4 linked regions of the Cricetulus griseus genome follow. The protein of the gene in region 2 binds, or shares a complex with, the protein of the main gene of each other region. Links are inferred from orthologs where the notes say so. Each region holds a gene or a part of one and is shown on either strand. Other genes may lie near its edges.

Region 1 (6,175 bases), on a different chromosome or scaffold from region 2:
GTGGGCTCATTATGCAATAACCCTAGCTGCACTGTCCAGAGGGCAGAGTGCACATCTTGGTACTTAGTCTTGCTTCTGGCACATTGTGCCTGCAGCGCCCCCCACCTCCCCCCCCCACAGAGAGAGAGAGAGAGAGAGAGAGAGAGAGAGAGAGAGAGAGAGAGAGAGAGAGAGAGAGCCTGGTACTTGAAGACACTTACTGCAGCCTCTATAAACCCAATGAAATTATGCCTGCTGTGGCATTTGGGGGCTGAGAACAGCCACGTGTTCTCTACATTATTGTCAGTTCCCCTTTTAGACACATGTTCCCAAGCAGAAGAGAAAGCAGGAGGCCCACGGTTGGGCTTGGTTGTTTCTGAACTTGGGGACATGTTGCTGACTTAAGTTCTAAATTAAGAACTGAAACCGTTGCTATTGAATAGAATCACAATAAGTGACAAACTCCAAATTAAATTGGATTCTACCCTAATAATCTAAAGTGGATAAGGTAAATAGATTTAAAATTTTAAATTCATTTTTCCTTAGATAAAAACACTTACAAGGAAAGGAAGCATAACACTAATTATTTTCTCCTAATTTTTTTGAGGTATGCTTTCCATAACTGGAGATGATTTAAATATATGCATGAGTAATTTAATCATCTTCACAATATTCTACCACTGTCACCACCATCTAATTCCATTACCCTATACATGTGCCCTAGACTGTTAGCAATCTCACATGGGTCCTCTCTTCCTGTGTTCCCATCAACCACTGTCTGTCCTTAAGGCTGTACCTCTTGTGGATATTTCATCTAAAGGAATCAGAATACGTGACCTTTTGTCTGGCTTTCACTGAACTTCATATTAGGTCGGTCTTAAATGGCAGGTGCATGTGAGTTACCTGGGGACTTCACTGGAATATAGGGGGTTTGTTTTGGTTTGTTTTGGTTTTTCAAGACAGGGTTTCTCTGTATAATAGTCCTGGATGTGCTGGAACTTGCTTTGTAGACCAGGCTGGTCTCGAACTCACTGAGATCTACCTACCTCTGCCTCCCAAGTGCTGCAATTAAAGGTGTGCTGGAATGTAGTTCTTAATCATAGAATCAGACACCCTGAGAGGACAAGACTCCTGGTGATGCTGCTGTTACCAGCCACAGACCATACCCTATGCACTGTAGATAGAGACTTGAGAAACCTGTGACACTAGTGTCATTTCTCCCTGATGAAAGGGCTTTGCCGTTTCAGAATGAAATGCTAGAGGAGGGACACGAGTATGCGGTCATGCTGTACACCTGGCGCAGCTGCTCCCGGGCCATCCCGCAGGTGAGACCATCCTTGCTATTCCTCTTTTGCCCTTCAGGAGGTGTCACTGCCCCCCAAGCCCAATCAAACCCAAACCAGAGGGTTGAGTTTTCTGGGTAGCAGGAGGTAAATCTGGGTCTCTGACCCAAAGAGCTTCCCGTAATACTACTGAGAAGGTCCACGTCCCCGGGGTCTTAAAAACAGTTCCCAGCACATGCTATGCACAGTATCTCATTTCACAAGCAGCATCTGCTGCCTCCCACCCAGGCCATTGCAGAGGGTCTAAGGTAGCAAACATGCTGTCCACTCCCTCCTTCACCCAAACCCATGTTCGGCCACAGGACCATCATGGTGCACATTGCTTCAGATTGTTTGGGATCTTCTTATCACAGGAACATATTTCATAAAGCCGATTGTTACCACTCGTTTTTTTACACTGTCATGGGCTTGTTGAAAATACAGATATTTTTATCATTATTGATATTTTCCTTTAATTAGTAGATTCCATTGTAACAAAACCAACAAACCCCACATGCATAAAGTAAACAGAAGGTACCATTCTCTCTTTTAACCCTCATATTTAGGGACAATTATTATTGACAAATTTTGTACATTTCCTAATTTTCTAAGCCTGTTTTTTTTAAACAACTGTTTTTTTTAAAACAATTTTCTTTTTTTAACTTTATTTTTATTTTATGTGCCTGCTTGTCAAACTTTTTATTACATTTATGTGTTCTCTCTGGGGAGGGTATGATGTACAATGGGGTGTGCCTGTAACAGTCAGAGGACAACATGCAGGAATTGGGTCTGTCCCATTCAGACTTGAAAGCAAGTGTGTTTTTCTGCTGAGCCATCTGGCCAGCCTCAGAATTTTGTTTTCTGGAAAAAGGGACCAAACTTGAGTTGTGCCTCAGTGGCAAAGCATTGCAAAACATATCCAAGGTTTTGGGGTTCAAGGCCCAGATTCTCTCCCCAGCAGTGCAAAAACAAGCAAAAATAAAACAGGCATCAAATCACTTTACTGTGACCTTTTTGCTTGTCCCCTGTGGTAGCCACCTTCTTATGGTAATTCCAGAGATCCACCTTAGTCCTTCTAATGTTTATAATGGTAATGGTAGAATGCGATTGCATCACTTGTCCATGTAATGACGTACTGGAAGTTATATAGCCATTGATAACCATAAAAGATAGTTCTTGTCCAATGCATGTGGTACTCACCTGTAATCCCAACACGTAACAGTCAGGGAGACCTTGAGTTTTCAGGTCAGTGTGGGCTACATAGTGAGACACTATCTAAAGAAAAAAATGTGTTTGCTCACACCCAGCCATCCTGTTGTTAGGCTTGGTGTGTGTGTGTTCAAAGAACATCTGCCATGTGGTACTAAGGTTATATGCTGACTAAAAGCACTGGGCAGGGGAAGCGGGTCTCAGGATGGCACAGCTTCGGGTAGCCATCATTCACCTGGATGTGGTTTTGGAGCTTTGCTCCAGGCATACAGCATAACAAGGACAGAGCAGACCGGCTCACCACTTGTACATGAGGATGGGGAGAGGATGTTGCAGATCTCCATAGATACATGGATAGCCAACTGTAAAGGCACAGACCAGCAGGAAAGGGAGGAGGACCCAGTGTTGGGACCAGCTGGCTCTTACTGCAGCCAGTGTCCAGGGATCATTTCTAGGGTTGCCAGTCTTCTACAGTCCCCTCTCACTAGGGTGACCATATTCATTATCACCCATGACGAGGTGCCACGTGTGAACTACGGACCAGTCTCATGAGACAGTAGCTGCGAGCCTGGATGGTGAACTTTCCTCTCACATTCTCAGGTGAAGTGCAATGAACAGCCCAACAGGGTAGAGATCTACGAGAAGACAGTGGAAGTGCTGGAGCCGGAGGTCACCAAGCTCATGAAGTTCATGTACTTTCAGGTGAGTGGGCTGTGGAGGGCCCACAGCAGAAGGCTCACAAGGACGCCTACCCTTCCACTTACTGGACTTTGGTGCCATGTCATTTTTTTCATCCAGCTAATATTTTTAAGAACCACCTACACTCCCATGGGTGAGCCAGGCCAACAGGTGTCCCCACCTCCACAGAGGATGTGTAGCTCCAGAAATACACAGTAGTTTTAGGACACATTGAGGGCCATGAGTAAAATAAGATTTACAACAGTTGTAGATTGCAAAGTAGCTATGGATAGTTGGTGCTTCAGGGACAGTGCATGGAACTATGTCCTGGTCACAGGAGAGGCAGGAGTATGATGGCATGGTGAACAGGGCTCCAGGAAGATGGTCCAGCAAAGCCCCAAGGCCCGAAGGAATCAGTGTGTTCAAGAAATAGAGGACAGTAATGGAGCGGGCTGTAGAACAGTAAAAACAAGTGGTCTAAAGGGAGGCTGGAGCGGGGTTCTGTGAGCTTGAGGTTTGGATTTGGTGATGTGAGCTGACCTGAGGTTTCAGGCTATCTGGCCACTAGGTAGAAAAGGGTTAGGAGGTGTAAGGTTGGAAGAGACTATGAGAGAGAAGGATGGTGGCCGCAGCCAGAGACCAGTCAGGAACTCTGGAAGAGCCACTGTTTAGAGGACGAAAGGCAGGGAGAGAGCCAAGGGCCTTCTCAGGTGACAGGGAAGGCTAGGTGGTAGCAAGAAAGGACAGGAAGTGTAAGCAGTCAGTTACTTGCTGGGGTCTCATTGGCAGCCAAGAGGGTGGCAAGGTGAGTATTTCACAGCCAGTCTTTACCCCACAGTGGGTGCTATAGCTTGCACAAGCCATACCCTATGTATAACCTGCCTGTGGGACTGAGCTTCAGTCATAGACTCTTGACTCTGGCCAGAATCCACCCTGTACTCAACATCTAGGCAAGAACTGGGACAGCACTGGGAAGGTGTCTCAGCCTGGGTAAGGAGTAATGCCAGGTCAAACCCTGGCTGTGCTGTTATCTGACCGAGTGTGACTCACTTCTCACACACACACACACACACACACACACACACACACACACACACGCACGCACGCACGCACGCACGCACGCACGCACGCACTCACGCACACACACACACACACACACACACTCTCACACACAAACTCATGCACATTCACACACACACATACACACACACACACACACACACACACATACTCATGCACAGTCACACACACAGACATACACATACACACACCCCCGAGACATGACAGGATCGTAGGAAGGATAAACAAGGTCCATCTGTAGGTGCCCAGCAGGGCCCTGTGTCAGCTTACAGTGCTTCACAGCTGTTGTTAGTATCCTAGGTGGCCTGACTTCCCCAGAGCCTAAAGTCTTATTGGGAAGAGGGTCAAGAGAGGAGAGCCATCAGAAACTGGGTGTGAAGTTCCATTCACACCCCGACAAGAGGTGTGAATGGAAGGAAGGATCTGGAATGATTCACAGCCGTGTACCAAGCACTGTGCCCATCGTCTACGTGTATAAACAGTAGTAAGTTCAACGGGACACTCCTCAGCAACACAAAGCTCACTTCAAGCACTCAGTAGCCACTGTGGCCATCCATATTAGTTTCTCTTCTCACTTCTGGGGCCAGATGCCTAAGAAAGCATTCCAGGGATCTCGAGGAAATCAGAGTTACTTGGCTCACAGTTTAAAGGTACAAGTCAGGATGGCAGTAAAAGCGTGGTGGCAGGAGCATGAGGCACTGGTCAGGCTGTGCCTGGGTCAGGAAGGAAGGAGAGGTGAAAGCCGGTGCTCAGCTCACGTTCTCCTTTTCACTCAGTCCGGGATCCAAGTCCATGGGGTCATGCCTCACCACTTACACATTCAGGGTAAGTCTTCCTTGGTCAGTTAGACCTTTCTGGAAACACACATCCTTCATGGACACAGCCAGGGGTTCCATGGTGAGTCTAAATCCCATCAAGTTGAAAGTGAAGATCAACAGTCACACCATTATGGTGAGCATTGCTGTGCTGAACAGTTCACCATGGCAGAAAGCCTACCTGGTCTTAGACTCTGGAGGTCTGGTCTGGTCTTTGGGGGGGCGGGCAGCAGGTGAGCACTGTAGGCCCTGGAAGGGGAGCAGAGCTCATATCTGCGCATACATCCTCTCCTCCTCACAAACACCTTCCTGTGTTCTTTCCCCTCCTCTTCCTCCTCGTCCTTCTCTACTTCCTCTTCCTCCCTTCCTCCCCCTCCTCCTTCCTTCTCCCATGCTCGCTGCCCCTCCATTACTACAGTAGCTTCTTGCTTTTGAACTCCTTTCTTTCCCCCCAGTGACAGACTTTTGAGATATAATATATAATATTATATATATATATAATATTATATCTCATTTAATATTCAACCAAGCAAAATGAACAGCCCAGCATACTGTAGTGTCTTCACAGAGTTATGTGTTCATCATATAACCTGTTCTAGAATATATTTAACCCTTGAAAGAAATCTGTTGAGCCTTAACTCCCTACTATCCCCAACACCCTCTCTTTCAGCTCCAGGCAACTACTAAACCACTTCTTATCTCTATGGATTTCCTGTTTAGACATTTTCCTAAAAATGAAGTTATACAGGACATGACTTTTCATGGCTGGCCCCTTGCCGTTGGTGGGGTGTTTTTGAGTGTCGTCTGTACTGTAGCAGGCATCAGAATCCAATTGGTATTTTTATTTTTTTATGATGGAATACCATGTCACTGTACACATGCAGTGTATTTTATTCACCTATCCACCAGGTGATAGATGAGGCTGATTTTCCCCTTCGGATCTGTTGGGAACAAAAGCCGAACACATGTGTACAAGCTTGTGTGTTGTTAGAGATTCTTGTCTTTCTCTTGGCTTGTGTGCTGGTTAGTTTTTTGTCAACTTGACATGAGCTGGAGTCATATGGAAAGAAGGAATCTCAATTGTTGACTTTC
Region 2 (6,656 bases):
ATCCCCAATTAAACTAGCTCTTTTATAAGTTGCTTTGGTTATAGTATTTCATCACAGCATTAGAAAAGTAACTAAGACAACCACCAAAAGTTCAAGACCAGCTTGAGTTCAACAGAGAGACACAAAACAAAATAAAACAACAACTCCTACCCCAAACCACAAAGAAACAAAAGATCACCTGGAAGCATGATAGCTTTTCTTGAAGAATAAGAATTCTGCTCAAATTTATGTGTCATTTTCTTGCTCTGTCTAGAGCTCAGATTGTCATTTAGGACATTCTGGTGGCACTGCCATTTGGAGGGCCTGCTTTGGACCTAACCCAACTGCCCACAACTACAGTGCCAGGAGATCTGACACCGTATTATGGCCTCCAGGCTCGCACACAAGTGCACTAACATACATGTAGGCTAAAACATTCATACACACAAAATAAAAATAAATGCATCTTAAAAAAAAAAAAAACAGCTATCCATCTAGACAGAATTGATTCCTGGCTTCCCTAAAGACACACATCCAGTAGTTCTCTACATCCAGTAGCGTTACATTTTCTTGTCTGATTGTCCCCAAATTCTCACAGCAGCGTCCCCTTTCCAGTTTCCTCTTAATTGTCTCTGGTTTGGACCCTGGGCCTCTGGTAAATTTAAATGTTATCTACCAGCATGGCAAGTACCTAGTAAATTAAAGTTCCCACTTGGTTAATAACAGAGTAAATAACTCAACAGATGGTCTCTCTGAGAAGGAGGAGAGAGGAATGAGCGGGAGAGGGAAAGAATATATACATTCAAGGTATGCAGCTCTACGTATATGTATGTTGCACACTGACAGATAAGTTTCCACTTTTCTGGTGGGACTAGGACTCTTAAACAGCCCTTAAGGAAAATCTATTCTGTGTGCTCTTGTAGATTTCTGTAAGCTAGTGGATACAGTAGCTTTTAAAAATATCTTTGAAGCTATTTGTTACATTTCATTAGAAAGTTGCTTTAATGAATTCAGTATCTTATTAACTTCAGAATGCCTTTTATTTAAGGTGGTGAGGCATTTTGTGTTTGATTTATACTAGTTAAAGCCCCAAATGTCCAAGTGACGTGAGTCCCCCGCGGTGGAAGTTTTCACTCTAGTCATTCCAGTGGAGACACATTTTGTTCATGTTTGAAACCCTGTGGGATCAGGAGTGGACGCGGAGTGGGATGATGACAAACAGTCCTTGGTAGGTGGGGGGTGGAAAAGTAGAGTTGCTTCTAGGTATTTAAGGAGAAGGCTGGGAGCGAACCCTCCTTCACCGAACAAACATTTGGGTTTTTTGTTTTTGTTGTTGTTGTTGTTTTTGCCTACCACACGCCATAGCCTATTCGTGTCTCCGCCGGATGGGTGCTGCTCCCTGATAATTCTCCATTCTGATCATCTCAGGAACTCGAGCTGCCCTCACTTCCGACCTCCTTCCTCTGAAGCCGGCTGGAGGCGGGAGCGGGGACCGCGGCGAGGCGATGCCGGTCGAGCGGAGCACACATCTGCCGCGTTCTCCCGGGAGCGTCTGTCAAGGCGTGGGAGGAAAACGCGCTCCGAGTCGCCGCCAGCCCCGTCTCGAGACCAAAGTCTCCCGAAACACAGCGTCCCCACCCTAACGCCGCTGCGGGTCCCGGGGGGTGGGGAGCTGAGGCAACTTCGGGGGAAGTCGAGGAAGGCGGCCTGGGGTCCCGGGAGCCGAGGCCCGGCAGGGCGCACAGGGCGCGGGCCGCAGTTCTCCCGGCGGCCTCGCGGGGGCGCCGGCGCGGCCGATCAGGTGACCGAGCGCCGGTCCCGGCTACGGGAAGCCGCCTCGTTCTCAGCCGCCGCCGCCGCCGCCGCCACCACCACACCTAGCGGAGGAGCCGGGAAAGGCGGCCCGGGTGGGGGGGGACTGGGGTGGAGAGCTCCGCGGGTGGAGGCGGAAGGGCGGCGGGCGGAAGCGAGCGCCGCGGCTGCTGTGTCACGGCGCGGGTGGGCGCGCGGCATGGGCGCGCCGCGCTGAGGCGGAGGTCGCGGGCGGGCGGCCGGGAGGGCCTGAGGGAGGCGGCGAGCCGCGGAGTTGCGCGCCCGGCGGCGGTGGCGGCGGCGGCCGCACCATGTCGCGCTCCGTGCTGCAGCCCAGTCAGCAGAAGCTGGCGGAGAAGCTCACCATCCTCAACGACCGGGGCGTCGGCATGCTCACGCGCCTCTACAACATCAAGAAGGTGCGCACGGGCCGGCGAGGCCGGGCGGGGTGCGGCGGGGGAAGGCCGCGGGCGCGAGCTCGGCCTAATCGCGCGGGGCCTCCGGGATGCGCCGCGGCCTAGAGTGAGCCGCGGGGCGGGCAGGCAGGAGCCATTTCCCGGCTCCCGGCGGCAGGAGCCGGCCGGGCCGCGCATGGCCGCCGCGGCGCGTTGGTTTGCGGGAAGGGAGACGCGCGGCCTTCCCGGGCTGCGGCGAACGGGCCCGGGTTTCTTGGCTTGCGAGTGTGGGAATGTGGCGACCGACCCTCAGGGCTCCGCTCTCCACTTGGTCACTTGATATTTCGGTCGCTGAATAAAGCTCCCCCACCCCACCCCCCAGCATGTTGACGTTTAGGATAATTTCATTTTGGAGATGGACAGGAGGGGGAAGTGAGGGTGGAACCGGTTTTCGTCTGAAATACTTGTAGGCTGTGAGTCACTAGAACAGGAATAACAACCTTTCCTCTCTACTCCTCCTCATTTTAGTTTTCCCAACCCTATCTGGGGAGCACCAAGGCACCATTCCTTAAAGTACAATGGCTGCATAAAATAAAAACGAAATCTGCTCCCATTGCTATTCCCTTCAAAACATATGCGAGGATTTGAGTAACTAGTCAGTAGACCTATTGGAAATCCGTGTGCCTTCAGATTAGGGAGTGGAGAGCTGTATTGAAGTTAAGAAAAGTAGAGATAAAAATAGGGGGGAAATGCCATTAATTTACCTTAGAGGAAAACAACCTCAAATCCGTTTAAGACTTCTTTGATGAGCCTCAGGGAATTTAGTAGAGAAAAAGTTTGTCTTTGGTACATTTTATACATCTACATTCTTGTGGGTTTGTATGTGTATGTCAGATTTTTCATAATCTCGTTTTAAAAGAGTATAACGTTAAATATTGCCCTTTGACCATAGCAATGGAGTATATAGGTTGTGAGTATTGCTGAAGATTCTTTTAAAACTTGAAGTCAAAGCATTCGAGTATAAACTTGTTTTACTTCTCCAATTTGATTTAGACACTAATTCTGAAGCACACTGCTTTAAGTTAGTAATACTAAATCCTGGGAAAGGATAGCTGTGTTGTTCTGCTTACTCACTTGGTTTCAATGAATGGTTGTCTCTAAACCCAGCACACTCTGGAGCTAGGATGTACCCATTCAGTCTGTGACATGATAAAGTCCTCTACATTCACCCCTTGATTGCAACTTTATGGGGTTTGGAAATTTTCAATTTTAGGTAGTATAAGTTGCATTGATGATGAACGACTTTTGGATTTCACTGCTTAAGAAATCTTGGAAATCTAAGTTTTATATGGACTTTGTTTTCTTAAAAAAAAACCCAGCAAGTCAAATGTTACTAAAAGTTACTAGACCTGCGGTATTGTGGTTAAAGAGGAAATGGTTATGATGGTTTCTAGAAGAGGAAGTGAGAGTAACATCAGAAGTGATTTGGGTGTTTGAGCAAAATACTTTCTTTGATGCAGTCAAGTCTCTAAACATTTTTATAGAATAAATATAAACAGACTTAAATATTTTATTCTCATGGGTAATAGTAAATGGAATTCTAAACATTTAAACTTATAATTAGTCTGTGGCCTTTTTTCAAAGTGTTTTTCACTTCCTGTTTTGAGAAACCTCGGGCTCTTGTTGTGTTGACCCCTGAAATGGAAAATAAGTGAACGCAGTCATTATATCTAATTGTTAAGCATTTTGAGTTATTGAAATGTTGTATACTTCAGCACTTACATATAGTTAGTTACTTGAAATATTTTGCGTACTTGGCTTATGAATTTCTTCTGAGAAGAGTAATTCATTTTGAAGACTAATACTTAGGGCATTGCCTAGCACATAGGCTTTGATTAGTGCTTGGTGAAAATAGACTCTGTGTTAAATGCATCTGCTGTTTGTTTTGTGGCAGGAAGAGAGAGAGTGGGGAAGCAATCAGGTGCTTGGAGGTTAGTGGATAACTTGTGAGAGTCTGTTCTCTTCTTCTACCTTGAGGGTTTCTAGAATCAGACATGGAATCAGGCTTTACGCTCCGAACCATCTTGCTGGCCCTTTTGATAGAATTTGAATCTTTAGCCTGTGGAATTGCCTGTCTGTATCAGCTGCCTGTCTATACTCAGCTGGCTAAGGATTGAAACATTTGTTCAAACATCTAGCCAAAGAAGTAAGATCTGTTCATCATTGTTTATAAGGTCCATGTTGTGTGTATTCTATGGCAATATAAATCACATAATCTTTTTATTTTTATTTTCTTTAGGTTTTAAGTTTTATATGTATGAGTGGTTTTGCCTGCATGTAGTTCTGTACCATTTGTGTACCTGATGCCCACAGAGGTCAGAAGAAGGTGTTAGAGCCTCTGGAACTTGAATTAAAATAGTTGTCAGCTCCTACTCATATTTCAAAACCTGGCACAAATGTTCCTATCCATCTTTCTATCTTTCCCACCCTAAAATCTTTAAAGTCTCAAGTCTCCTACAATCCTACTTACACACTGCATTAGACTAGCTAGCTACACATCTCTCTAATCAAGATATGAATATCTTGGTGGTGGACTTAATATACCTGTTTCTCTAATGTTAGAGAAGACATTCAATAGATAGTGATTAAATACAGTTGGGGGGGTGTAGCATGAATTCTAATTGGTATTAATAATAAAAACCCAGAGTCAGATATTGGGGTTAAAGCTAAAGATCAGAGAAGCAAAATGGCCAGCCACTAGAGTTCTCACCTCTACAAATGCTCAAACCAAAAGGACAATCCTGTTCTCAGACTGCACTGAGTTCCTGTCTCCTCCCACCATATATTCCTCTCTAGTGTTGGGATTAAAGACATGAGATCCCAAGTGCTGAGATTACCTTGTATGAGCTCTGTTTTTCTTTTAGATTGGATCAATTTCGTTTAGCTCAGGATGGCCTTGAACTAATAACGGAGATCCTCCTCTGTCTCCTGAGTGCTGGGATTAAAGGTATGAGCCACCACTGCCTGGCCTCTATGGCTAAGTAGTGTGGTTGGCTTTGCACTCTGATCTTCTGGCAAGCTTTATCTGTCAGATCATATACAAAATATCACTGTAGAACGAATAAAAAGAACCCAGAGACAGATGTTGCGATTCAAGCTGAAGACCAGAGAAGGAAAGAGGCCAGCCATTAGAGAGTTCTCACCTCTACCAATGCTTAGTAGGAAGGGGAGATCAAGTACTCTGATTGCATCTCCAAATGCTCCTCAGACTGCCTAGACTGAAGAGTGACTATAGTCTGAGACCCTGAGCTCCTGTTTTATATTCCTCTCTAGTGCTGGATTAAAGGCTTGCACCACCACCACCCAGTATCTATGGCTAACTAGTGTATCTGATGGGATTAAAGGTGTGTACCACCACTGCCTGAGCTCTATGGCTGTGGCTAGTTTTGCATTCTGATCTTCAGGCAATCTTTATTTGGTTGATCATACACAAAATATCACAACGGGGAAGCCCTCTCAACATTGTGATTACCTAAAAGATTAGTTTTATAAGGAAGTATTTTCAAGATTCTTTCAAGAGGTTATTTGAAACTGTCAGATACACAAATCTGTTTACACATTAACAATTTAAGATTTTATGAAGTTTGATGTTATTAATAAAATACTGCAGTACTATGCTCAAACAGGGAATAGTTTCATTTGACCAAAGCCTACAGTATTGTTAAATTCTTAATAACAGTATCAATTCCTATGATCTTAAGAACTTAATATATTCACTAGCAAACTCTATTGAAAACTTGAGCAAGAAATCTTAGGCGTGTGATTACTATTAATTAAGCTATTCATTAAACAAACTTAGTTTGAGTACTATTAATGAAACAACTTAGGCTAATCACACTTTCTAATTGTATTTCTTGTATTGCAGTCTACATAGTTTTTCAGTGTACAAAATTATTATTTGACTTTGTGATTTCATACCCAAGACAGTGCTACAAACCAAATCCCAAAGGCAGTCTTGCTAGAAGTGTTCTGACACCAAGCTAAATTCCCAGCATCACTTTTTGTCTTTGAAAATAAAAAATCTAAAATGAAAATTACAGAAGAAAAATTTTATTTCACTGTTTTTCTTCATACTAATTCCCTGTTTTATATATACTTCCCCCAGTTTAAGCAAAATGTCCTATTTATTTCTGTTAGTTTTACTTATGTGGTTAGTTCTTTCATCTTGTACACATTATAATACATCAGAGACTGAATGAATCTTAACAATAACCAACCATAAAGGGAGCTGAGGAGACAGCTCTGCTGGGGAAGGGCTTGATACACAAGCATATGAGTAAGGTCCCCAGTACTGACCTAAAATTCCAGATTTGTAATCCCAGCTCGATCAAGATAGAAACAGGTGGATTCTTAGAGCTTGCTGAGTAATCAGCCAGCCTCATCTAGTCCCAAATCAGCCAACCTCAGACC
Region 3 (6,175 bases), on a different chromosome or scaffold from region 2:
CTGGTCATCTCTCACAGAAGTAGCCTTTAGGATCAAAGTAGCTTTTCTTTAATTTAGAATTTTGACTGAACCCTCCAATAACAACAGCAGCATATAGCTTTCTAGTAGTGTGGGCTTGCTCAAGACTTAACGTAGTCTAGAAAAGTTTCCAGACTATTTATTCTTCAGTTAGATTTTGGCTAAGCTACCAGTAGATGATTTCATTTTTGAATTTTTGTTTCTAAGTATTGTTTTTATTCTTTGTCAGTTTTATACATATGCATATATTATCTTATTCATAATACACCACCCATGTTTTTGTTTTGGGGGTAGGGTTTTTTGTATCCCAAACTGGCCTCAAACTTGCTGTGTAGCTGCACCAACCTCCCAAATTCTGGGTTTTCAGAAGTATACCACTGTACCTGGGCTATGTGATGCTGAGAGGGAAACCCAGTATTCCTGGTGCTGCACAAAACTCTGCCATCTGAGCTACATTCCCAGGTTTTAGTCAGGAATTCATGATTTCATTTTTAAATACTGAGGTGTGCTAGGCCACATCCTTTTCTGAATTGAAAACAACTTGAGAGTTTTTATTTTTATTTTATTTTGAGACAGAGTCTTACTATGTAGCTCTATTTAAGATTGATTTTTTTTTTTTCTTTTTTCTTTTGAGACAGGGTTTCTCTGTGGCTTTGGAGGCTGTCCTGGAACTAGCTCTTGTAGACCAGGCTGGTCTCAAACTCACAGAGATCCACCTGCTTCTGCCTCCCGAGTGCTGGGATTAAAGGTGTGCGCCACCAACGCCTGGTTAAGGTTGATATTTTTATAGCATTATACTACCACTCAAATAATGACTTGGGCATTCATTGTCCAATAAAGTGTTAGATCTTGTATACTGATAATTAAAAATAGATTTATGCCTTTTGTATCATTGTAGTTTACTTAAAGTCAAATTAAAAACATTTTTATTTTTAGTTATGTATATATGTGTATATAGGGGTGTGTGTGTACATGAGTGGAGGCCAGAAGAGGGTATTTGATCCTTTGTTACTGGAATTACAAGTGGTCATGCAGTGCCTCATGTAGGTGCTGGATACTGTCACTTACAGTTACATTACATAGTTTTAACTGCTGAGATGCCATTCCACTCTCTGTCGTCTGTAATTCAGTTGGATTAGATGCAGGGGTTAAATGCTGACCTCAGAAATTTTGAGGCCTGTTTGAGATTGTCTTAATTATTAATTAGTTGGTAGTTTCCTTAGAAAGTTACTTCTTTTTAAAAGTACATGTAAGATAGATCTGGTGACAAAAGCCTGCAATCCCAGCTACCTTGAGGCAAGAGACTCATAAACTCAAGTTTTGTCTGGGCCACAAAGTCCGTTCATGGCCAGTCTGGGAAACTTAGTGACTGGATGTAACACATTGGTAAAGTGTTTTACTAACATGTGCAGCCCTGAGTTCAATTTCCTGTGCTGCTGGAAAATAAGTGTAACACACAAACATTTCCCTAGTTCTTATAGATACTTTTGCAGTGTATTTGAAATATGGCTGGATAAAGCTTGTTAACATGAATTCAGTAATATAAATGTCAACCTGTCCTGTCAGATGCAATTTACCTAGAATTAATTTCTACTTTTTCCCCTCTTTTTTGTTTTTGCCAACATAAAGTGGCTAAAAGCCAAGGTAAGAGACTTACTTATCATTTGATCCACAGTACTTCCTCTATGTTGACAGAGGCTGCAGAGCCACTAAAATGTGAAAACTCTTATGTCTGTCTGCTTTTTTCCTGTAGGATTTACATAGATTAAATATGCTCAAATTTAGTCAAATCTCAGCGTTTAGCTTGGCTGTGTTAATATATCCAAGATATATTGATGTTTGCACTTTAGGAACATTAATCTTGCTAACAGTTACTGCTTTGCTCATGTTTTTACAGTTGCTTTGCTTCCATTGTTTGAGAGTTAGGTTTCCCAGACGTCATATGTGATTTTGTTGCTGAATTATTAGTAAAAAGATTATATTTGAGATGAGTATGTTAGCAGATTTACAGCTTTTATGGTTTACATTTATGCACATATAAATGTTTATTCAAGCATTTTAATAATTCTGATTCTTGAATACAGATAAGATTGATATCAGTAAATATGTCTAACAAAATATAAAATTTAGTAGTCTTACCTGTATTTTGCATAAATTGATATGAATAGCCCAAAATGATAGAAGAACTGAATGCAGGTGGCTTTTGAACTTTTAAAATATAATACCAAACTGTATTAGTGCTGTCTGGGAATCCTTACTTCACATTCTGATATTAAGGAAAAGACATCATGTTAAAACACCAAGAGTACAAGTTGATACAAAAATAAAATCTTTCTTTCCACATTTTAGCACGGAAATAACCAGCCTGCAAGAACTGGCACATTGTCGAGAACAAATCCTCCCACGCAGAAACCACCAAGCCCTCCTGTGTCAGGCCGAGGGACTTTGGGGTATGAATTCAAGTGCATTCTACAAAGAATTCCTGAGACTTAAGTGCTTGCATCCTTGTTTTGTGTTTTCTCTTGTGGTACTACCCTTTACATTCATTTATTCTGTGTGTGTGTGTGTGTGTGTGTGTGTGTGTGTGTGTGTGTGTGTGTGTGTGTGTGTGTGTGTGTGTGCTGTGTGTGTGTGTGTGTGTGTCTGTGTGTGTGTGTGTGTGTGTACTGTGTGTGTCTGTGTGTGTCTGTGTGTGTGTGTCTGTGTGTGTGTGTGTGTGTCTGTGTGTGTCTGTGTGTGTCTGTGTGTGTGTCTCTGTGTGTGTGTAGCCCAGAGGACAATCTCATGCTTTACCCTCAGGAAAGCTGTCCACCTCCTTAAAGACAGGCTCTCTTACTAGCCTAGAGCTCACCAATGAGGCTAGATTGGGTGGATAGTAAGCTAGATTGCCTGTCTCTACCTTCTTAGCTTTGGGATTGTGGGTGCTGCCATGCCAGATATTAATAATCTTTTTCATATGTGTAAATGAGTATCAGTTTTTGTTTCTGCATTTAAAAAATGTAAATCTTCTTTGCATGTTATTTTAAATGGATTATCCAGAGAGTTTCTTATAGTGCCTTCACACATATTTATGGCACTCCCCCCCCCCCAATGGTTTCTCTGTGTAGTCCTAGCTGCCCCAAACTAGCTCTTGTAGACCAGGGCGGCCTTAAACTCACAGAGATCCACCTGCCTCCGTCTCCCGAGTGCTGGGATTAAAGGCATGCATCACTTATGACATTTTTGAATAAGTGGTGTGCTTTGTGTAATTTGCCTTAGTAGTCTCTGTCTTCTGCTTCTTCTGTTCCACCTTACACTGAGGACTCTACTGAAGTGGCTCCAAGTGTAGCAGCTACTCACAGACCCCTTTACACCAGAGTAGCTTTTTGGAAAGCTGTAAAAAATAGTGGTAATTTCTGGTCCCCTGTTGGTGGTAGTAATTGTATCAGTATTTTCCAAGATGTTAATGAAAGATTAGTTATTTGGAAATACCATATTAGATTTCTTGCTTTTGTGGAGGGGTCAGTTAATAGCCAACTTTCTTTTTTGTGGTGGTGGTTTTACTTTTTTTTTCCCCCTGAAGAAAGGCTTATGAGTGACTAAGCTGGGTATAATGTATTTTAATAATATATGTTATTAAGCATTAAAGAGTAAAGCCATTATTTTTAGTGATGTTAGAAATTTAAGTGATCATTTCCAATAATTTTCCCAAGAAAGAACAACACATTTTATTTTATGTTAAAACAGCAAAATTTTTATGTCACAATTAAAGTTTTTGTTTAAATTACTATTAATTTTTTTTCTGTCATTAGAGAGTGTAGCTCATGCTATCTACTTTAGAGATTAGAGGACAACTTTGTAGGGTGTGTGTGTGTGTGTGTGTGTGTGTGTGTGTGTGTGTGTGTGTCTATGTGTGTGTTCCCATGTGCAGGCACCCCCCATGTGTAAATTGATGTGTTCTAGGATTGAAAAAAGATCTCTAGGCTTGGGTGACAAGCACCTTTACTGTCTGAGCCATCTTGCCAGTCTTAACTATTTTTAAATTAAAACTGGGGAAAAAATTCTGTTATAGATAATTCAGATAGAGATTGTTACAGATTTGGGAAGGCAGTTATTTTGTCTTTCTCATTCATTATCCATTTTTCCATTCTTCTTCTCTAGACGGAATACCCCTTACAAAACGCTAGAGCCTGTTAAGCCTCCAACAGTTCCTAATGACTACATGACTAGTCCTGCAAGGCTTGGAAGTCAGCATAGTCCAGGCAGGACGGCTTCTTTAAATCAGAGACCAAGGACACATAGGTAAGCCTTCTGTGTGAACATCTGAACTCAGAGTATATGGTGCTGACTGGTGAGTGATGAGTTTTAAAGACACAGCATACAAAATGATGTACTACTTTAATGCTAATAATGAATGTAAAGGTTATGGCATTCTTCATATTTCTGATCACATAAAACTTCAGTTTTTCTTTGTCAATTGTTTTTGTTTGTGTATATTATTAGTAGGATATATTTCCTCTTTTTGACAGATACAAGTACATATTGGGATTAAAACTAAAGAGTGTTTTTAGAAGCTAAAGGTGTAGCTAAGATAGCATAGTGTTTGTCTAACATACAGGAAGTTCTGGGTTTGATCCCTAGTACCATAAAAGCCAGGCATGGTGAGGTACATTGTAATCCTACCTCTGGGGAGATGGAGGCAAGAGGTTATCCTCAGCTACATAGTGAATTTGAAGCCAGCTGTGATACATGAGACCTTGTCTAAAAAAACAAAAACAAAAAGATAAAGCTTAATTTTTTTCTCTCTTAAATATGCATATAAGATAGGCTTTTGACTTTTTGCAACAAAGTGTGTTTTAGTAGTAACCTTGCGCCTCATCATCCCCATCCTCCTGACCCAAGAATGGTTTTCCACATGTCTTTAAATGTCATAAAGGTAGGGTTAGGATTTGTATAGCTCAGTGGTATTATCCTTGGTATGTGTAAGGCCTCTGGGTTCATTTACTAGGAACTCCCATTAAAGGGGAGAGGGCAGGGAAATACTCTTAAATGCTTTTAGACAAAAGGTTAAATGTCATAGAAGTTCCGTGGCTCAGTTGGACCCTGAGAGATCAGAGGAAGAACACTTAACTTGTTTCTGGACAGCGCTGGTAAACTAGGGTGTGTTAAAAATCCTCTAGAGAACAGCTGCCCAATGGGCTTTATGAAGGATCTACCTTGGCTGCTGAATTAATTACAGGGTCAGAGTATGTTTTTTCCAAAGTGGAATCTTATTCAACCACTAGTTATTTAGAATGACTTTATTAAATACCAGTCGGTAACATATAAAACATAGTATTGTTGATTTTTCCAGATGCTCATTGTGTTGAAATACAAACATCTTTTTTTAAAAAGAAATTTAGAAATGTATCCTAGAAATGTCATTATGTCAGGATTTATGGGTTACTTAAGCACTGTTGCAAATATATTGACATGGCAGACAATATGTAAATGAATCAGCATGGCCATGGCCTAGTAAAATTTTACTTATGGTACTAAAATTTGAATTTCATATAATTTTAATGTTTTCAAAAATATCATTCCTCTTTTGAGTTTTCCCTCACTATTTAGGGGGGAAAAAGTTAGCTCATAGGCAAAATTTGGGCTTTTGTCCAGTTTTAGCTCACAGGGTATACTTTGCTACTACTTACCCTGTGTTACATAAGAAACACTGAAGTCAGGAATTGCAGAAGAGCTTAAATGTACATATATTCCTAGGTCTGACACAAAGCTGAATATTGAGTTCCTGGCTTGAACGAGTTGAGAATCTCATTTAAGCTAGTTTGTTCTGTCAGTGGATTTTTTTTTTTTTTTTTTTTTTTGGTTTTTCGAGACAGGGTTTCTTTGTGTAGTTTTAGAGCCTGTCCTGGCACTCGCTCTGGAGACCAGGCTGGCCTGGAACTCACAGAGATCCGCCTGCCTCTGCCTCCCGGCTATCAGTGGATTTTTAAATGTATTTTATTACAATGTGATTATCCAGTTGTAAATTGATTATATTGGAGAGTAAAATAATCTTACCGAGGCACTATAAATCTTTGCCTTCTTGGGTTTGTGGGCATACTGATCAAACCATATTGGTTTTGAAATATAGTATGAGCCAGGCACTGTGGTGGTGCGCATTTGGAAGGCAGTGGCTGGA
Region 4 (6,175 bases), on a different chromosome or scaffold from region 2:
CAAAGACAGTTCATTCTTGTTTGGAATCTGAAAGAGACCATCTGCATCTACTATATATTGAGTTTGCTGTAACATAGCATCCTGCAGAGTTTACTTTGGTGAAAGCAAGTCCATCTGGATTCCATCCAAGGAATTTAGTTAATACAGAAGCAAAAGGACTTGTTAGCAGGCAGTCCTGCAGCATGGATTCCCAAGGGCTGCATTCTAGCAGGGCTTCCACTTACTGGGAAAACTCTAGATTCCCAGATGTTTGGGCAAGTTAGTGGGACCAGTGTTAGATGGCTGCTCTAGACTCAGAGGGGGCCTTCCAGAGCATGGGGAGTAATTGGCATCCTTCCATGTGAGTGTCAGTCACTTCATTTTGAGCACCCTTTGGATATTTTCTTCTGCAAGGACCTTTCTCGCTGTAGTTAGACATGGAAAAGGAAGATAACCTTACAGACGACTTAGAGTCCTCCCCTCTGGTGGTTTGGTAATGTTGTCATCATGCACAGACAAACTGAACAGAAGTAGAAAGTGATTATTTATTTTGCTTGTATCTATAAATAACTTTGGAACAGGTAAAAAGTCATTACAAGAAGCTGGAGGTGGATGCTGTCTATCAGATGGGTACACTACCAAGCAGTGCCTCTGTGTGTGTGCCCTGTAAATGCAAAGACACTGGCCTATTAGCCTCAGATAGGAACTTGGAATCTTTTCACACAGATAGAGAAGAGGCTCAGAGTATCTGCCCTTTGTTACTAGTGTTTGAAGTCATGCTTGCCCCTGTGGCTGTCATGCGTTAGTCTGATTGAGTTTGGATAGAGCTGTATGACAGAAAGGGCAGGCATACCTCATAATACTGAAAGGGATAAGATACAGCATTTATGGGCTGGAGAGATGGCTCAGAGGTTAAGAGCACCGACTGCTCTTCCAGAGGTCCTGAGTTCAATTCCCAGCAACCACATGGTGGCTCACAACCATCCGTTATGAGATCTGGTGCCCTCTTCTGGTGTGCAGATATACATGGAAGCAGAATGTTGTATACATAATAAATAAATAAAATCTTAAAAAAAAAAAAAAAAAGATACAGCATTTATATGGTGGGACAGGATAAGCAAATAATATTGAGATATTTCACCTTTCTAGAAATGTTATTTTATATTTTAGACACAAAATACCAGAACTAGTATCTCCTCTCAGTTATCTAGACTTGGCCTAAGTGGTATCTCTAACTCAGAGCAAGATTTAGTTAATATAGAAATTATTAGTGTCAGAGCCTGGAGAGATATTTCAGCAATTAAGAAACACTTGCTGCTCTTGCAGAAGACCCAAGTTCAGTTTCCAGCACTCACAACTGCCTGTAACTTTAGCTTCAGGGATCTGACACACCCTTCTGGCTTTTGTGGGCACCTACACACATGTGCATGCATACACAGAGACACATATATACACAAATGAAAATAAATGTAAGACTTTCTTTTCTTTCTTTCTTTTTTTTTTTTTTTTTTTTTTTTTGGTTTTTCGAGACAGGGTTTCTCTGTGTAGCTTTGGAGTCTGTCCTGGCACTGGCTCTGGAGACCAGGCTGGCCTTGAACTCACAGAGATCTGCCTGCCTCTGCCTCCCGAGTGCTGGGATTAAAGGCCTGCGCCAGCAACGCCCGGCTAATCTAAGGCATTTTTAAAAGAAAATATTAGTGTTTGATTTAGAAGTATATTCTGTGTGTTTTGAAAGACAAGTAGAATTTCTTTTCAGAATTAGGATTTGTTTGCATTTATTTATTTATTTTTGAGAGGTAGCTTCTCTCCATATAGTTCTGGCTGTCCTGGAACTTGTTATGTACACCAGGCTGGCCTCAGACTCGGCCTTTTACTTTTTTTTTTTTTTTTTTTAAACATGTATGGTTCCCTTTGTGACAGGTCCTCTGTACATAGTCTAGACTGGACTTGAACTGATGCTTCTCTCCCTGCCTCCCGAGTGCCAGGGTTATAGACATGCATCACCAGTCCTGGCTTGCAGTTTTGTTGTTGGTATTTTTTGTTTGTTTGTTTGTTTTGTTTTTTTGAAGACTCTGTGTAGCCCTGGCTGTCCTGAACTCACTCTGTAGTCCAGGCTGGCTTCAAATTCAGAGATCCACCTGCCTCTACCTCCCTATAGACCTTGTGGTTTTAAAAGAGTTGGTCATTGTGTTCAATGGGTCCCCTTGGATTGGTATTGGACACTGAGCTGTTCCAAAAGGGAGCAAGAAGTAGCGGTGTGCTTGGTTCCTTATCTGAGTATAGAAGAGCAGCTGTACACAGAAACACACGAGTACACAGGTTTCAGATAGGAGGGAAAGACCTCAGTGCTTCCTGCTGAGTCCTGGGGAACAGGCAGGAAGGGGAACCAGTGGTGGAAATCTCCTTAGAGGTGCACAGTATCCAGATCTCTTTAGGGAGCTGTCTGTGACCCTGCAGATGATTAGAAACAATCAGAATTCCTGCTGATCTAGCCTGTTCTTGCCCTGACCATGCAAATTCCTGTAGGGGAATTGAAGGTATGGCAGAGGTTTGTTTGGGGCCATTATGGGAGAGGAAATATGCGATCGATTTGAATGACTTCCTGAATCCTTAGTGTAAAAACTGCTAACTGGTTGGTGTTTGGAATATTGGATTTGGTTGGGAGCTCATCTGTCTACTGACAGCTACTTGTCTTCATTTCTATCCCAGGGATGATGGAAAAGAGGCACTCAAATTCTACACCAACCCTTCATACTTCTTTGATCTTTGGAAGGAGAAGATGCTGCAGGACACGAAGGATATCATGAAAGAGAAGAGAAAGCACAGGGTGAGGGGAAGGGGCCTCTGTTCTACACATCAGTAGGCACGATTGTGGAGTGGGGATAAAAAGGAAGCCAGTCTTATGTGAAGTAATTCCAAGTGGCTGCTTGCTTGGATGCCAGGTAAAATTCTTTAAAAAAAAAAAAAAAAAAAAAAGAATGTGTCCATACCAAATACCACCAAGATGAGAAAGTAAAAATCACACCAAAAATGTGCTTGTTCCCCTGGCACTATTAACAATTGAGTATATTTGAGCTGAGTTTTAGAAATTGACTTTTCTATTCACCATTTATTTTTCTTGCAATTTGCACCTGACTCTGCTGGACACTCTGCTAGCCTGGTCCCATCCCTGCCGGTTTTGCAGCTCATTTCTCAGAGACAAGCACCAGGTTCTGCAATATTTGGTTTACAACAGAAGGTTAACCCCTTCACTACTGGGTGGGTGGGGCCAGGGGCTGCCTGGTTTGTAGAGATGCCTCTCTCTTTAGGCTCCTGGTGCTGTGTGACCTGCCAGCTTTGACCTCACAATCCCATTAGCATGGCTGTCAGCAGGCCCAAGAGAGTGCCACAGGCTAGTGCAGCTGCATGAGCTGGAAAATCCTTCATTGGTTTTTGTTTTATTTTGTTTTTTAACTGTTTCCTTTATCTGCCCCAGATCTCTAGAGCTGCCAGTCCTCATCCCCTGACTGACCTTTGTGGCACAGCAAATAACAAATAAGTGTTTACTAACTTCCTAACAATTAAAATGCTTAAAGATGTGAAACAGTTACCCAGAAAGGTAGCTGAGGCTCCTTCTTGCTAGAGGTGCTTGTGTGTGAGACTGAGCAAATGCTTTGCCCGGGAGGTGGTTTGAATTGAATGGCCTCTAGGTCACCGCAAACCTGGTAGTTCTGTAAATTCTGCTGTTATCATGTGTTGTCTAGGCAAATCATCTCATGAGTGTGTGTCCATGAAGAATTTTAATGAAGCACTTGGGAAAATGTTTTACAAAGGCTTTTCTGTTCCCTTTCATTATAGAAAGAAAAGAAAGATAATCCGAATAGAGGGAATGTAAACCCACGTAAAATCAAGACGCGTAAGGAAGAGTGGGAGAAAATGAAGATGGGGCAAGAATTCGTAGAGTCCAAAGAAAAGCTGGGGCCTTCTGGGTAGGTGACGTTTTATAGCATTCTTTGAAGGGGTTGGAACCTCAGGACAATAGGCTCTGGAGTGATACCTTCCACACCCTCTGAAATCTAGCTGTAGGGTTTATTTAGGTCAATACAACTGTTAGTCCACTACAGTTTAAGTGCATCCATCTGGTGATTAAAAATTTTAAATAAGTCAAGAGACTCAGTAGCAGTTTCAGTGAGATGACTGGAGTGGTCTGGAAGGGAAGGCGCATGGCTTCCAGTGCTGTTCCTCTGCCAGAATTCAGTATACCTAAGGTCTCAGAGGAAAGACGGAAAGAGCAAGGAAAATGGTCTTGGGAGGCCTTTGCCTCCCAAGTGCACAAGAAGGTTGTACTGAAGGGCTGAGCCAGGGAGGAGGGGAGGGTGGGCAGCACGCAAGCCTTGTACTTTACCAGAACAAATTTTCAGCCAGTCTTTGTCAGTCTTGGGAGAGAGGTTAGTTAGCCAAAGGGACTGAATGCAGACCTCAGAGTAAGTGTGGGAAAGGCTGCTGGACCACTGTGGAGGCTGTATATCTCTGTGGGAGTGGGGGATGTCATCTTGACCCATTTCCCAGGACCAAATCACACTGGAGGTTAAAGGGGGAGAATGGATTTAAAGCTTGGTTTGATGCTTATCCTGATGTCTGACCCCTGTGACATTCAAAGCCAAGTCACCATGACTGCTTGGCATGAGTGTCACCCTGGCTTTTCCTCTAAAGTCATTGCATTCTGGCTGTCAAAGAACCATGCCAGCCCATACTGGGTGTTGACGAGTGATAAAAGGAAAGAGTTGAGTTGTTCTTACTTTTAGGAATAACTCTACCATGAAAATCTTGACTTTTAAAAATCTTGACACTTGTGACACTTGTTCTTCCTGGATTCAGAGGCTTGTTTTATAAGCATGATGAAGACAGAGAGAGGAGAAAATGACCCTTCTACAGAGAAACCGGTACTAAGGGTGCCTTCACTGATCTCACTACCCAGTAAGGGGCCATTTTGTTCCACAGACCCATCCCATTCTGATAGGCACACGGCATAGGATTAGTGACTCTGAGGCCATAATGCCAGCTGTCAAAAATGTATGTCTCTCAACCTGGTCAGCAGAGCTAGTTCCAAGACAGCCAAGGATATACAAAGAAATGCATGTCTTATTTTGAACTTGGGTAGTGAAGATGAGGAGTGGTACCCTGCCCCTCATTTTCCTATTTTCCAGGAGGTTTAGAATTGGCTGTGTAGCTGGTCTATAGGAGCATGCTTCTGGGTGAAGCTGTCAAAGAGATGTGCCAGGTTTTGGGGGTTTCTCACAGGAGCGCATCATCTGACTTGATTACTTGCCTACAACTCTGTGCCTGGGACCTGCTTGATGAGCTCTGGAGAACCCCGCAGTGGTATAAAGAGGAAGAGAAGGCAGAGCAGGCCAGCTTTGCTAGCTGGTGCCCAGTGTACTTATGCTAATATGTAGACTTACTGCTTGGTGTGTTGATGCTTGTATGAAGTTTTGATGTTCATCCAGAGTCAATTCTCCCAGGGCCCAGTTCTCAGAGGAATGGGTTTTCATGCAACTAGCTCTAGCACCCTGCTTTAAGCAGCTGCTGTGATAGAGGACATGGCAGAGAAGCCACACTTACTACCACATGGAAGCCTACATTCATCTTTGGCTTGATTTTGCAATCAAATGCATCCTTAGCCTTTGAACACTCCAGGGATTTGCCTACCTCAAAATCAGGCTGTATGCTAGTCACATGTTTGCAACTAACCTGTGGGAATTGGCTTCATTCTTTGCTGTAAGGTTTTGGTATTCAGGTTTAGTTGCACCTAATATTTGGGAGAGCATTTAAAAGAACTGCTGGGTTTGATTTTAAACAGACAGGCAGGCACACACTCGAGTGCACACACAAACACACATACACACACAGTCTCACTGTGTGACCCTGACTAGCATGGAACTTGGTATGTATACCACATAGTCATGGAGATCACCTGTCTTTGAAGGCACCTGCTACCATACCTAGCCTAAAGTATAATTTTGGTGTAATGTGGGGAATCTCCTTGTTTTGTATTGATGTGGTATCTTTTAGTAAGAAAAGAGAGAGCCATTCAAGCTCTGTGTGTTTCTACATGTTTTGGATGCTTTGGATGAAAATGGACTCTCTAAATGACCACTTTGGGTATGTTATCAGATTCTCATCCGCTTTGGTGTACCAGAATGGCAGCATTGGCTCT

The links. Proteins that work in one complex are often made in the same cells at the same time.
Region 1: Nckap1 (region 2) and Cyfip2 share a complex: the UniProt entries of both Homo sapiens proteins name them as parts of the WAVE1 complex. The link is inferred for Cricetulus griseus from reciprocal best matches to the Homo sapiens genes NCKAP1 and CYFIP2.
Region 3: Nckap1 (region 2) and Abi1 share a complex: the UniProt entries of both Homo sapiens proteins name them as parts of the WAVE2 complex. The link is inferred for Cricetulus griseus from reciprocal best matches to the Homo sapiens genes NCKAP1 and ABI1.
Region 4: Nckap1 (region 2) and Wasf2 share a complex: the UniProt entries of both Homo sapiens proteins name them as parts of the WAVE2 complex. The link is inferred for Cricetulus griseus from reciprocal best matches to the Homo sapiens genes NCKAP1 and WASF2.

What each region holds. Positions count from the first base shown.
Region 1 is NC_048600.1:60,838,304-60,844,478, reverse strand, and holds part of Cyfip2 (cytoplasmic FMR1-interacting protein 2), read left to right. Parts: intron 1-1,226; coding exon 1,227-1,304; intron 1,305-3,110; coding exon 3,111-3,212; intron 3,213-6,175. UniProt on the Homo sapiens protein: Involved in T-cell adhesion and p53/TP53-dependent induction of apoptosis. Does not bind RNA. As component of the WAVE1 complex, required for BDNF-NTRK2 endocytic trafficking and signaling from early endosomes.
Region 2 is NC_048599.1:94,544,220-94,550,875, forward strand, and holds the start of Nckap1 (nck-associated protein 1), read left to right. Parts: upstream 1-2,102; coding exon 2,103-2,210; intron 2,211-6,656. UniProt on the Homo sapiens protein: Part of the WAVE complex that regulates lamellipodia formation. The WAVE complex regulates actin filament reorganization via its interaction with the Arp2/3 complex. Actin remodeling activity is regulated by RAC1.
Region 3 is NC_048596.1:211,221,051-211,227,225, forward strand, and holds part of Abi1 (abl interactor 1), read left to right. Parts: intron 1-1,647; coding exon 1,648-1,662; intron 1,663-2,367; coding exon 2,368-2,468; intron 2,469-4,158; coding exon 4,159-4,299; intron 4,300-6,175. UniProt on the Homo sapiens protein: May act in negative regulation of cell growth and transformation by interacting with nonreceptor tyrosine kinases ABL1 and/or ABL2. May play a role in regulation of EGF-induced Erk pathway activation. Involved in cytoskeletal reorganization and EGFR signaling.
Region 4 is NC_048595.1:20,085,537-20,091,711, reverse strand, and holds part of Wasf2 (wiskott-Aldrich syndrome protein family member 2), read left to right. Parts: intron 1-2,688; coding exon 2,689-2,806; intron 2,807-3,816; coding exon 3,817-3,947; intron 3,948-6,132; coding exon 6,133-6,175. UniProt on the Homo sapiens protein: Downstream effector molecule involved in the transmission of signals from tyrosine kinase receptors and small GTPases to the actin cytoskeleton. Promotes formation of actin filaments. Part of the WAVE complex that regulates lamellipodia formation.